Linked DNA regions of Callithrix jacchus. The protein of the gene in region 1 interacts with the protein of each later gene in a pairwise test. Links are inferred from orthologs where the notes say so. Each region holds a gene or a part of one and is shown in the gene's direction. Other genes may lie near its edges.

Evidence for each region.
Region 2: the proteins of PPL (region 1) and RAB3IP interact in binary tests that used the Homo sapiens proteins (3 or more experiments, as listed by UniProt). The two-hybrid records come from large-scale screens. The link is inferred for Callithrix jacchus from reciprocal best matches to the Homo sapiens genes PPL and RAB3IP.
Region 3: the proteins of PPL (region 1) and ZSCAN1 interact in binary tests that used the Homo sapiens proteins (3 or more experiments, as listed by UniProt). The two-hybrid records come from large-scale screens. The link is inferred for Callithrix jacchus from reciprocal best matches to the Homo sapiens genes PPL and ZSCAN1.

What each region holds. Positions count from the first base shown.
Region 1 is NC_133513.1:6,999,007-7,002,232, reverse strand, and holds the end of PPL (periplakin), read left to right. Parts: coding exon 1-1,752; 3' UTR 1,753-2,613; downstream 2,614-3,226. UniProt on the Homo sapiens protein: Component of the cornified envelope of keratinocytes. May link the cornified envelope to desmosomes and intermediate filaments. May act as a localization signal in PKB/AKT-mediated signaling.
Region 2 is NC_133510.1:72,312,585-72,316,705, forward strand, and holds the start of RAB3IP (rab-3A-interacting protein), read left to right. Parts: upstream 1-1,287; 5' UTR 1,288-1,812; coding exon 1,813-1,823; intron 1,824-4,121. UniProt on the Homo sapiens protein: Guanine nucleotide exchange factor (GEF) which may activate RAB8A and RAB8B. Promotes the exchange of GDP to GTP, converting inactive GDP-bound Rab proteins into their active GTP-bound form.
Region 3 is NC_133523.1:50,755,367-50,759,013, forward strand, and holds part of ZSCAN1 (zinc finger and SCAN domain-containing protein 1), read left to right. Parts: intron 1-2,034; coding exon 2,035-2,173; intron 2,174-2,670; coding exon 2,671-3,293; 3' UTR 3,294-3,647. UniProt on the Homo sapiens protein: May be involved in transcriptional regulation.

The sequences.
Region 1 (3,226 bases):
GTGCGTGAGATCGTGCGGCCAGACCCCAAAGCAGAGAGTGAAGTGGCCAACCTCCGCCTGGAGCTTGTGGAGCAGGAGCGAAAGTACCGGGGGGCTGAGGAGCAGCTCCGGAGCTACCAGAGTGAGCTGGAGGCCCTCAGGAGGCGGGGCCCCCAGGTGGAAGTCAAAGAGGTGACTAAGGAAGTCATTAAGTACAAGACTGACCCCGAGATGGAGAAGGAGCTTCAGCGGCTCAGGGAAGAGATCGTGGATAAGACCAGACTGATAGAGAGGTGTGATTTAGAGATCTACCAGCTGAAGCAGGAAATCCAGGCCCTGAAAGACACCAAACCCCAGGTCCAGACCAAAGAGGTGGTCCAGGAGATCCTCCAATTTCAGGAAGACCCTCAAACGAAGGAGGAGGTGGAGTCTCTGAGGGCAAAGCTCTCAGAGGAGCAGAAGAGACAAGTGGACCTGGAGAGGGAGAGGGCTTCCCAGGAAGAGCAGATTGCCCGGAAGGAGGAGGAGCTCTCACAGGTGAAGGAAAGAGTGGTGCAGCAGGAAGTAGTCAGGTACGAGGAGGAGCCTGGCCTGAGGGCCGAGGTGAGCTCCTTCGCCGAGAGCATCGACGTGGAGCTGCGGCAGATCGACAAGCTGCGTGCGGAGCTGCGGCGGCTACAGCGCCGGCGCACCGAACTTGAGCGGCAGCTGGAGGAGTTGGAGCGAGAGCGGCAGGCCCGCAGGGAGGCTGAACGCGAGGTGCAGCGGCTGCAGCAGCGGCTGGCAGTGCTGGAGCAGGAAGAAGCTGAGGCCCTTGAGAAGGTGACCCGCAAGCAGAAGGTAGTGCTGCAGCAGGACCCGCAGCAGGCCCGCGAGCATGCCCTGCTCCGACTGCAGCTGGAGGAAGAACAGCACCGGCGGCAACTCTTGGAGGGTGAGCTCGAGACCCTGCGGAGGAAGCTGGCCGCCCTGGAGAAGGCGGAAGTCAAGGAGAAGGTGGTGTTTTCCGAGAGCGTCCAGGTGGAGAAGGGCAACACTGAGCAAGAGATCCAGAGGCTCAAGAGCAGCCTGGAGGAGGAGAGCCGCAGCAAGCGTGAGCTGGACGCCGAAGTGAGCCGGCTGGAAGCCCGGCTTTCGGAGCTGGAATTCCGTAACTCCAAGTCGTCCAAGGAACTAGACTTTCTAAGGGAAGAGAACCACAAATTACAACTAGAGCGGCAAAACCTGCAGCTAGAGACCCGAAGGCTGCAATCGGAAATTGAAATGGCAGCGACGGAAACACAAGACCTGCGGAACATGACCGTGGCAGACTCTGGGACCAATCACGACTCTAGACTGTGGTCCCTGGAGAGGGAACTGGATGACCTCAAGAGGCTCTCCAAGGACAAAGACCTCGAGATCGACGAGCTGCAGAGGCGCCTGGGCTCCGTGGCCGTCAAGCGGGAGCAGCGGGAGAACCACCTGCGGCGCTCCATCGTGGTCATCCACCCCGACACAGGCCGCGAGCTGTCCCCGGAGGAAGCCCACCGCGCCGGGCTCATTGACTGGAGCATGCTTGTGAAACTCAAAAGCCAGGAGTGTGACTGGGAGGAGATCTCAGTGAAGGGGCCCAACGGGGAGTCCTCAGTGATACACGACAGGAAATCTGGCAAGAAGTTCTCCATCGAAGAGGCCCTGCAGAGCGGCAGGTTGACCCCTGCTCAGTACGACCGTTATGTCAACAAGGATATGTCCATCCAGGAGCTGGCGGTCTTGGTGTCTGGGCAGAAGTAGGCACAGCCCTTGCAACTCTTCTTAGCGGCAGATGCTGGCCCTCTCTTACGACGCAGTGGCCTCCTTGGTGTCGTCTTCTCCCTGGCCCTGTGCAGGCCAAGCATTTTATAAACAAACACCCTCGCTGCCAGGTTGTCAAAGTCTAGCCCAAATATGGGACAGGCACTGGCTGAAGACAGGCAACTCTCATCCCAACCACCATTCACTCTGAGTGACCCACTTCATCCTCCAGTGACTGGACAAATCCGATACCCTTTTTTCCTCCCCTTTCCCGTACACTCCCAGCAACAAACTCCTCGTGATAGCTGCACACAACCTGCAAACCACTAGAGGACAAGACGACCACAGCAGCCAAGCCCACTCAAGGCAGCATGGGCACTGGCACACCAGACAGTGACACTGCCCTACAAAGGGCTAGGCCCATTGGGGCTGCTGCCCGCCATGATGTCTCTCCAGATTTCTGACTTAAAACCAACTTTCCAGCAGAGAAGCCTCCTTGGTAGTTACTCTGCTCATGAAACAGATCTGGGCTCCATGCCAGGGAAGGCAAAGAGAAATCACAAGTGTCCAGCCCTCGGTGCTAGAGTGGGCAGGAACTGTCAGCCGGACTGTCCCAGCAGCGATAGGGAACACTTCACAGTTCTGGCACTGAAATCCTCTGATAGTGGATTGTGTTGCTGTTAGCCCTGGTTTCAGTGCTTTACAAGTCTCGCTTACTATCTCGTTGGTATTTAGGTATACAAAACAGTTGATTATTCACCAAGCACATTTCTGGTTCTCTGTATCTCATGTATAACAGAAAATGGGAACAATGGGGACCTTTATTTACAGCATGAAAATAAACCTGGTGGCTGGAGTCTACTGGATGGTCAGCTCGTTTCTTCTTTTGCATGCAAGGCTTATTTCCCCCACTCCCTCTTGTCTTTCAGCCAAAATGGATATTCCATACATACCAGCTCCTACAGAAGCACCACTTGCACAGGGTAGAAAGAAAAGAGTAAAAAAATGTTTTGGAAACCTTGAAACAATTTATTGAATCGCTTTATACAAGATTAACAATCTCCACACCACCCCTAACACCAACATAGTCGCTGCACAAAAGCCACAGCCCCTCTCACACCTAAGAAACGGCCACGCCTGGTAAGTGCTCAGAGACGCTTGCTGCGCCAAGGAAACCGCTGCAGCCCCCAGACCCCGAGGCCGCTCTGCCGCGGCTTCGCCTATGGATCTGCCCTGCCATGGCTGTTCAGTCATTCGCTCTTTCATTACCACAAATAAAGCATAAACAAGAAAAAGAAATCTCAAACTCCCCATCAAAGAAACATTTCCCTGAGGCAAGAGGCGTCACTAGATTCCTAAAAATGAGGGTAATTCTGCTCCAGCTGCGCGCGCAATGGTACGTGGGGAGGAGGGAGCACCAAAGGGAAAGGAAGGAGGGGCTGGGACCCGGGTGTTCGTGGGCAGAGAAGCCTGG
Region 2 (4,121 bases), on another chromosome or scaffold:
AGAGATTCACTTGCCCAAGACCACTCAGCTAGCAGATGGCGGACTCAAACCCAATTAATTCTGACTCCAACAGCCATACACATGGTCTACTTTTCTTTACTGCCTCTAATAGATGAGATTAATACCCAGAATGATAGTCCTATTCAATATGTGTATCACATAAATTGCACGTTTCTCTTTTGCTATATATAAACTCATACGATAACTGCTTCTTTATTTTCTGATTTTTGGGAGCTTGGCTCTTTTTGTATTTTTCCTTCCTGGAGGACCTAAAGTGGTATGGAAGTTTGATAAAACAGTTGACAGAAAAGATGAGATAATGCAAGTACAGACATTCTCGAACGCTCTGGCAGTTGCTGGAATGATGGGATCTGGGTTCTACAAGATTCCTCCCCTCCCATCCTCCGCCACACACACACGTCGAAAGGCTTATATGGCCACGGAGTCTCAGGTTGGTTCTAGGAGTCCTCAATTCATGGCGAAGTTACCTCTTCTCCTTCATGGGGAGCCCAACATGCTTCAAGTCAACCTGAGGCCGCCTCTCCGGCCCGCGCTCATTCCAAGGGAAACCGCCCGCGGAGGAACCTGGCGCCAGGTCTTTGACACCTGCGACGCGCCCCGCCTGGCGCCAGGGGGCGCGGAAACGCGTCCGCCCCCAGGCCTCAAGCCGGGTTCGCCCCGCCCCTGCCGGCCACACCCCCCTCCCCGCCCTCCGTCTGTGAGGATCCGCGGCTCCCGGCCCCGGCCCGGCTCCCGGCCCCGGCCCCGCTCCCGGCGCAGGCGCAGGCGCAGTCCCGTGTTCCCTCAGCAGCTGCCGGCGCCTTGAGCCCGCCGCCACGGAGTGTAGCTGGAAGGGCTCGCCGCCCTCCTCCGCCTCTCGCTGCTTCGGGGCGCGCTCTCTGCGGCTCTGCGAGCGCCCCTGAGCGCCGGCCGCAGCCGCGGTGCTTTAGTCAGGTGAGTGCGGCCACGGGAGGGAGAGGCCCGGGGCGTGGAGCACCGCCCCACTCGGCGCCAGCGCACCCGCCTACCGCGAGTCGGCCGGGAGAGGCGGCCGCGGCAGGTGCAGGTGCCGGCGCCGGGGAGGGCGCGGGCGGCGGGGGTTCGGCGGGATGCCCCGGTTCGGCGAGCGCGCTGTCCGCCTGGGCACTCGGGCTCTGGGCCCTTGGGGGCGGCGTGGGGGGGGCTCGGCGCCCCGGGTCAGCCGGCCACCCCCTAGTGGGCGTCGTTCGGCGGCTCCTCCCCCGGGCTCGGGCGCGTTACTCATTAACTGCGCGGTCCCGCGTCCCCGGGGTGGGGAACCAGAGCCGGACGGGTTACCTGGCTGCTGGCAGGCGGGCGCGCGGGGGCGGCCGAGAGAAGAAGGCCAGGGTCGCAGAGTGGGTGAAGAGAGTTCCCGAGCAAGTCGGAAGCCGCTCACAACACCGGACACCGCGCGGCAGGGCTGTGGACGAGGCTGTAGCTGTGGACCTGTGGTGGTTTCGTGCCCCAGTCTTAGGAAACGACGCGCAAGGCACCGTGCCGAGGCGTAGAGGTCACCCTCGGGAGGTTTCGGTGAAAACTGGTGGGAAATTACAGGCAGGTGCCCGGAGTCGCGCCCGAGGATCTCCGTGCAGCCCGACTAGTGTTCCGGGGAGTTGAGACGAGCTGCACTGGTGGGATTGCACCGGCTCTGCCCTCCCAGCGTTGACTATTCGCCCGGCCGTCCGGGAAAGCGCGAGCTTCCTGGCTCCAGAAGTGATGATGCTGCTGGGTAGAAGCCGCAGCAAGTGAAGAGTTGCCAGTTGTTATGGGATTAAAAAAGAGATCTCTGCAATGGCTAAGGGGTAAGGTCTTGAAAGACAGGAGCGCTGAGTTAGTACTGATTCCCGAGAGGAAATTTAGTTTCGTGGAATTGTTGCCTGTTCGGAGGCTACCTGTTATACACTCTCCTGCTACCCACCCCCACCTTTCAGTGTCGGGTTAACAGCCTTGTAGTCTCTTACAGTGGAATGATTGCGTAATTGGAGGGGCCCATAAGAGGATTACAACAAAACTGGTCCATTGTAAATCAGCTGAAAGACCTAGTTCTTGTTCATTATCGTTTTTCTCATTTTGTTGTTCATGAAGGTTTTTTTTAAATGGTGAATGACAAATCAAGGAGAAAAGAGGCAGAATAGGGTTGTAGACCAATCATAGTAAATATTTGATACTGTTAAATATTTCACCAGTTTTATGGGGCCTTGTTCTGTTACCATTTGTTATTTATTTACTGGTACTGTGCATTTCTATAGGACTTTTCGTGTTTGGGCAGACATTGTATTCCAGATACAGTTTATGTGATCTAATGCTAAAGCCCTTGTGGAATTTATAGAAATAAACAGGCAATTAAGTAGTCTATTTTTTTAATGATTAGAGGAAAAGCCTTTGCATTTTTTTCCATTAATGTTGTGAACCAAGGTGTTTAATATAACTCTTCTTGTGTGTTTGGCAAACAGCTCATCTGTGGTACTGAATACTTGTAACCTTTCACCAGGATGGCTATTTGATGTTTAGCTGCTTTGTGGGATTTCTGAATAGATCCTATTATACTTTTTGAATTAGTGTAGTTAACCATATGCTTCCTTTAATATATTTTATCTTTTATTTTCCCTAAACTCTCATCTTCCTCCAACACACACACACATCCTCTACAAGTAATTTTTAAAATGGAAAGGTTCTTAGAAATCTTTCACCCCCTCATTTTTTAAACATGGCAGGAAAAAAACCTTGTCGATTACAGTAGTTTTATATGCATTATGGTAGTTAGTATACTTTATTCTCCTCAGCAGGATGCAGTGAACAAATTAGTGAGCTGGGTGAATGAAAAATTATTTAAGGTTCAGCTCCCTCACTTACTATGCATAAACCTTGAGTAAATCATTTAACCTCTTTGAGCTTATTTTCTCCATTTGTCAATGGAGATACTATTAGATTGAAATCGCTAATATTCTGCTGTTTATGTTTCAACTAATATGAACTTCCTAATGGTGAGATGAGGATTTAATAAGATACTCCATTAGAGATGAGGGGAAGCGGAGAAGGAACAAACATGAGCTTGATTGTGTGCAAGGCAATGTGTGTGCTTGTTTTCGGTACCTTGATTCTTTAGTCCTCTGGACATTCCTGTGATATAGGTGGTTTATCAAATTTTACAAATCAGGAAATGGAGGCTTAGAAAGTTATAATAATTTGGCTGGACGCCGTGGCTCACACCGGTAATCCCAACATTTTGGGAGGCTGAGGTGGTGGATCACGAGGTCAGGAGTTCGAGACCAGCTTGACTAAAACGGTGAAACTGTGTCTCTACTAAAAATACGAAAATTAGCCTATCATGGTGTTGTGTACCTGTAATCCCAGCTACTTAGGAGGCTGAGGCAGGAGAATTGCTTGAACCTGGGAGGCGGAGGTTGCAGTGAGCCCAGATGGTGCCACTGTACTCCAGCCTGGGTGACAGAGTGAGACTCAGTCAACAAAAGAAAGTTGCAGTAATTTGTCTGTAGTTAACTTAGTTGTCAGTGGTCATAGAGATGGCCAGTGACAGAGCCACTATTAAAAACTGTATCTGACTGCCCAAAGTGGAACTTGGTGCTCTTGTTTCTTACGTGGTATGTACTTTCTGTTAAAGAGCTTTGTAACTATAAGGAGGCACACAGATCACAAGTGTTACCATTTGTATATTTGGTTTAAAAATACTCAAGTTTTCCGATGACAGTGATAGCAGCATTGCTACTACAGTTATGTTTCAGTCTAGTGCTTATCATGCCAAGTCCTGGTCTAAGCATTATACTAACTCATTTACTCTCACAGTGAGCCAGGAGATAATACTTCATCCTTGTTTTATAGTTGAGAAAATTGAGATGCTGAGACCTTATGTAGTTTGCCCAAGGTCACATAGTTAATTAAGTGACAGGTCTAGATTAGATGTCAGACAGTTTGTCTTCCATGTCTGTGCTCTTAACCACTACACTCTGTCATTTCTTCATGGCTTAAGTGGTAATGCGGAAGAATTGTGTGCTCATAATCACTACATTATCACTTGTTTATGTATAGCTTATAATGCTGAGGAACTGTTTTTAATTTAGCTTTTATGAGATATGTAATAT
Region 3 (3,647 bases), on another chromosome or scaffold:
GACACCTATAATCCCAGCACTTTGGGAGGCCGAGGCGGGTGGATCACGAGGTCAAGAGATCGAGACCATCCTGGTCAACATGGTGAAACCCCGTCTCTACTAAAGATACAAAAAATTAGCTGCGCACGGTGGCGCGTGCCTGTAATCCCAGCTACTCAGGAGGCTGAGGCAGGAGAATTGCCTGAACCCATGGGGCGGAGGTTGCGGTGAGCCGAGATCGCGCCATTGCACTCCAGCCTGGGCAACAAGAGCGAAACTCCGTGTCAAAAAAAAAAAAAAAAGAAAGTCGCATCTTTACTCCTGCAGATGGTGGCTCCTCTGGTGACAATTTCAGAATTTGACATGTTTTAAAATCAAAACTAGCAATGGCTAAGAAATAAAAATCAACAACCCAGCCAAACACACCATCCACATACTCCCAATGTGAGAGCAGGAAAATCCTGCGTCCTTTTTTTTTTTGAGACGGAGTTTCGCTCTTGTTACCCAGGCTGGAGTGCAATGGCACGATCTCGGCTCACCGCAACCTCCGCCTCCTGAGTTCAGGCAATTCTCCTGCCTCAGCCTCCCGAGTAGCTGGGATTACAGGCACGCACCACCGTGCCCAGCTAATTTTTGTATTTTTAGTAGAGAAGGGGTTTCACCTTGTTGACCAGGATGGTCTCAATCTCTTGACCTCGTGATCCACCCGCCTCAGCCTCCCTAAGTGCTGGGATTTTAGGCGTGAGCTACTGCGCCTGGGCGAAATCTTGTGTCTTAACTCCCTTCGGGCCATCAGCTCCCTCCCTCCCTACCTCCTCAGTCGCCAGCCCTGCAATCTCTGCATGCCTGTCCTGCCCAGCTGTTAGGACAGCTTCCTTAGGCCCCTGTGCATCCAGGTAGGGTTGGGGCAGGAGAAAGTGGAGACCCACCCAAGACAGGCCTGCTGGATTCTTGGTCTCTTCTCAGGCTTTGTTTGACCCGACACACTTTCCCCAACAACCTGATTTGCATTGACAAATGTCAGTGTTTTTCCTTTGCTACGACCCTCCTGCAGTACGCCGAGCCCTTGATGGTAACAGGCTGTGGGCACATAGCACCCACATCCTCATTTGAAGCCCAGAGAGCTAAAGCACCTCAGCCAGGGCCACACAGCAAGTGGGGCTGAGCCTGGACACCAAGCCAGACCCCTCTGTTTCAAATTCTTCTTCTCTCTTCCTCTTCCTCCTTTCTCCTCCTCTTCCTTCTTCTTCCTCCTTTTCCTTCTCTTTCTCCTTGTATCGCTCTTGTGGCCCAGTCTGGAGTGCAATCTTTGCTTGCTGCAACCTCCACCTGCCGGTTTCAAGTGATTCTCTTGCTTCAGCCTCCTGAGTAGCTGTGATTATTACATTTTTTCATATTTTTGGTAGAGTTGAGGTTTCTCCATGTTGGTCAGGCTAGTCTCGAACTCCTGACCTTAGGTGATCTCCCTGCCTAGAAAGTGGTGACCCCGGTTTTGGGTGGGACAGGCTTAGGAGTGCAGAGGTCATAGGTTGCAGGTGGGATGTGAAGCCTGTGTGGTTACCCATCTTCTCTGAGCTTGTGGGGAAGGGCAGTGCAGCCTTGGGGAGGCTGTAACCCGCCAGAGGAGCTTGGAACTCTGGTGGGTAACAGTGACCCGAGCTGCAAGGCATAGGTCCCCTGGCTCTAGCTAATGCTCTGTTGTCACTGTCCTGAAACGGTCAACGATTTTTGAACAAGGAGACTTGCATTTCAATTTTGTACAGCGGCCCCTTGAATTCTGTCTCAGGTCCTGGTAAGAGCTCCTTGGGAGTTATTATTTATTTTTTGTATAAATGAGGTCTTGCTATGTTGCCTAGGCTGGTCCCCAAATCCTGGCCTCAAGCGATCCTCCGGGCATCCTCATGGGCATCCCAAACACAGGAACGACAGGCGCATACCACCGCACGCCGCCCTGGGAGAGCCTTTGGCGACGACCCGTTCCTTGGTTGTTCGGTGATGGGGGTAGGACAGCACCTGAGGGGCAGGTGCGGAACAGTCCTGTGCTTGTCATTCCAGGCGTCTGAGCTGATCCTGGATGCGGCAGCGGCAGCCTCGGCACCCCCAGAGGAAAGCGAGTGGCCGGAGCCCACCCAGCTCCCGCAGGGTGTGCACACGAGGGCAGAGGCCGAGCCACCCCGCGCCCCTGGCTCGATGGGTGAGTCTGGCTCTTGTGCAGATTAAAGTTTGGAAATGCAGTTTGGGACCTCAACCTAAAGCCGCAGACTTTGTTAATGGGTGGAGTTAGGGGCTTCGGTGGTGAACTCCACACTTCCCCAGAAACCATACAAACCTTCCGTGGGGACTGAGGTCTGGGGCCCCTAGAACCACCATGCACATTCTTCACCCCACAAGAAGGGCCTCTGCCTCCCCACCTGAACGGCAGCCAAGCCAGACAGACTGAGAGTGTTGGAGCAGGGGGTTACCCAGAGGGCCAGCCAGGTAGGAACGAGGGGTCAGTGCTGACGGATCTGCCCCCAAAACATGTGCCCACCTATCTTGAAGGACAGGACGGAGGGCAGAGGGGCCATATTGAGCAGGGGAAGGACCTGGACTTGGCTCAGTCATTGGGGTCCTCCATGCCCCTCAGGCACAAAGGGAGGTGCCAAGGCAGTCCACTCACTACAGGTGACCCGTCTCCCTCACTCTCCACAGGGTCCCGGGCCCGCTTGCCTCTGAAGCCAAGTATCTGGGACGAGCCTGAGGAAATTCTCCCAGGGCCCTCCTCAGACCTGCGGGCAGAAGGGGCTGTGACCTCGGGCCCCAAGGGTCTGAGTGCTCAGAGAATCAGTCCCCGAAAGAAAAACAGGAACACCAACCAGGGCGGCCGCCGGCAGCCATCCCTCAAGCACACCAAAGCTGGCACCCAAGAGGCTGCTACAGGCACCCCGGGAGCGCCGCGTGGGCCCCGAGGGGGGAGGCCTTTCCAGTGTGCCGACTGTGGGATGGTCTTCACCTGGGTCACCCACTTTATCGAGCATCAGAAGACCCATCGCGAAGAGGGGCCCTTTCCGTGCCCTGAGTGTGGCAAGGTCTTCCTGCACAGCTCCGTCCTCGCTGAGCACAGCAAGATCCACCTGCTGGAGCCACCCAAGAAGAAAGGCCCCCGGAGCAAGGGCCCCCGGGAATCCGCCCCACCCAGGGATGGAGCCCAGGATCCGGCGGCCCCTCGCAGCCCCAAGAGGCCCTTCCGATGCAGCGTCTGCGGGAAGTCCTTCCCCTGGATGGTCCACCTCATCGACCACCAGAAGCTCCACACTGTTCATGGCCACATGTGAATGGCCAGCCTCGGGCCTCAGCCACCCAGCCTTGAGTCCCTGGGGGGCACCGATGGGCCCCAGAAGGTGGGGACATCCCCCAGCCCCACCAATCCCTGGCCACCGCTGTTTCACAGAAGATCCTGGACACCTGCTCTGTGGTCTCCACCCAGCATGGGAGGGGGCATCCCAGGGTCTCGGCTGAGAGGCAGCAGTTCCACAGCGTAGCCTGGTCAATCGTGCACACTGTGTTTTGCAAGTGGATTGAAGACGAGTTTCATTAGTGTCTCATTTTTCAGAAGCCTTGTGCAGGTCTCCCTGTGAGTACCTGACCCAGCGGCACGTTCTGCCGCAGGGTTTTCATTTCACTGTGGA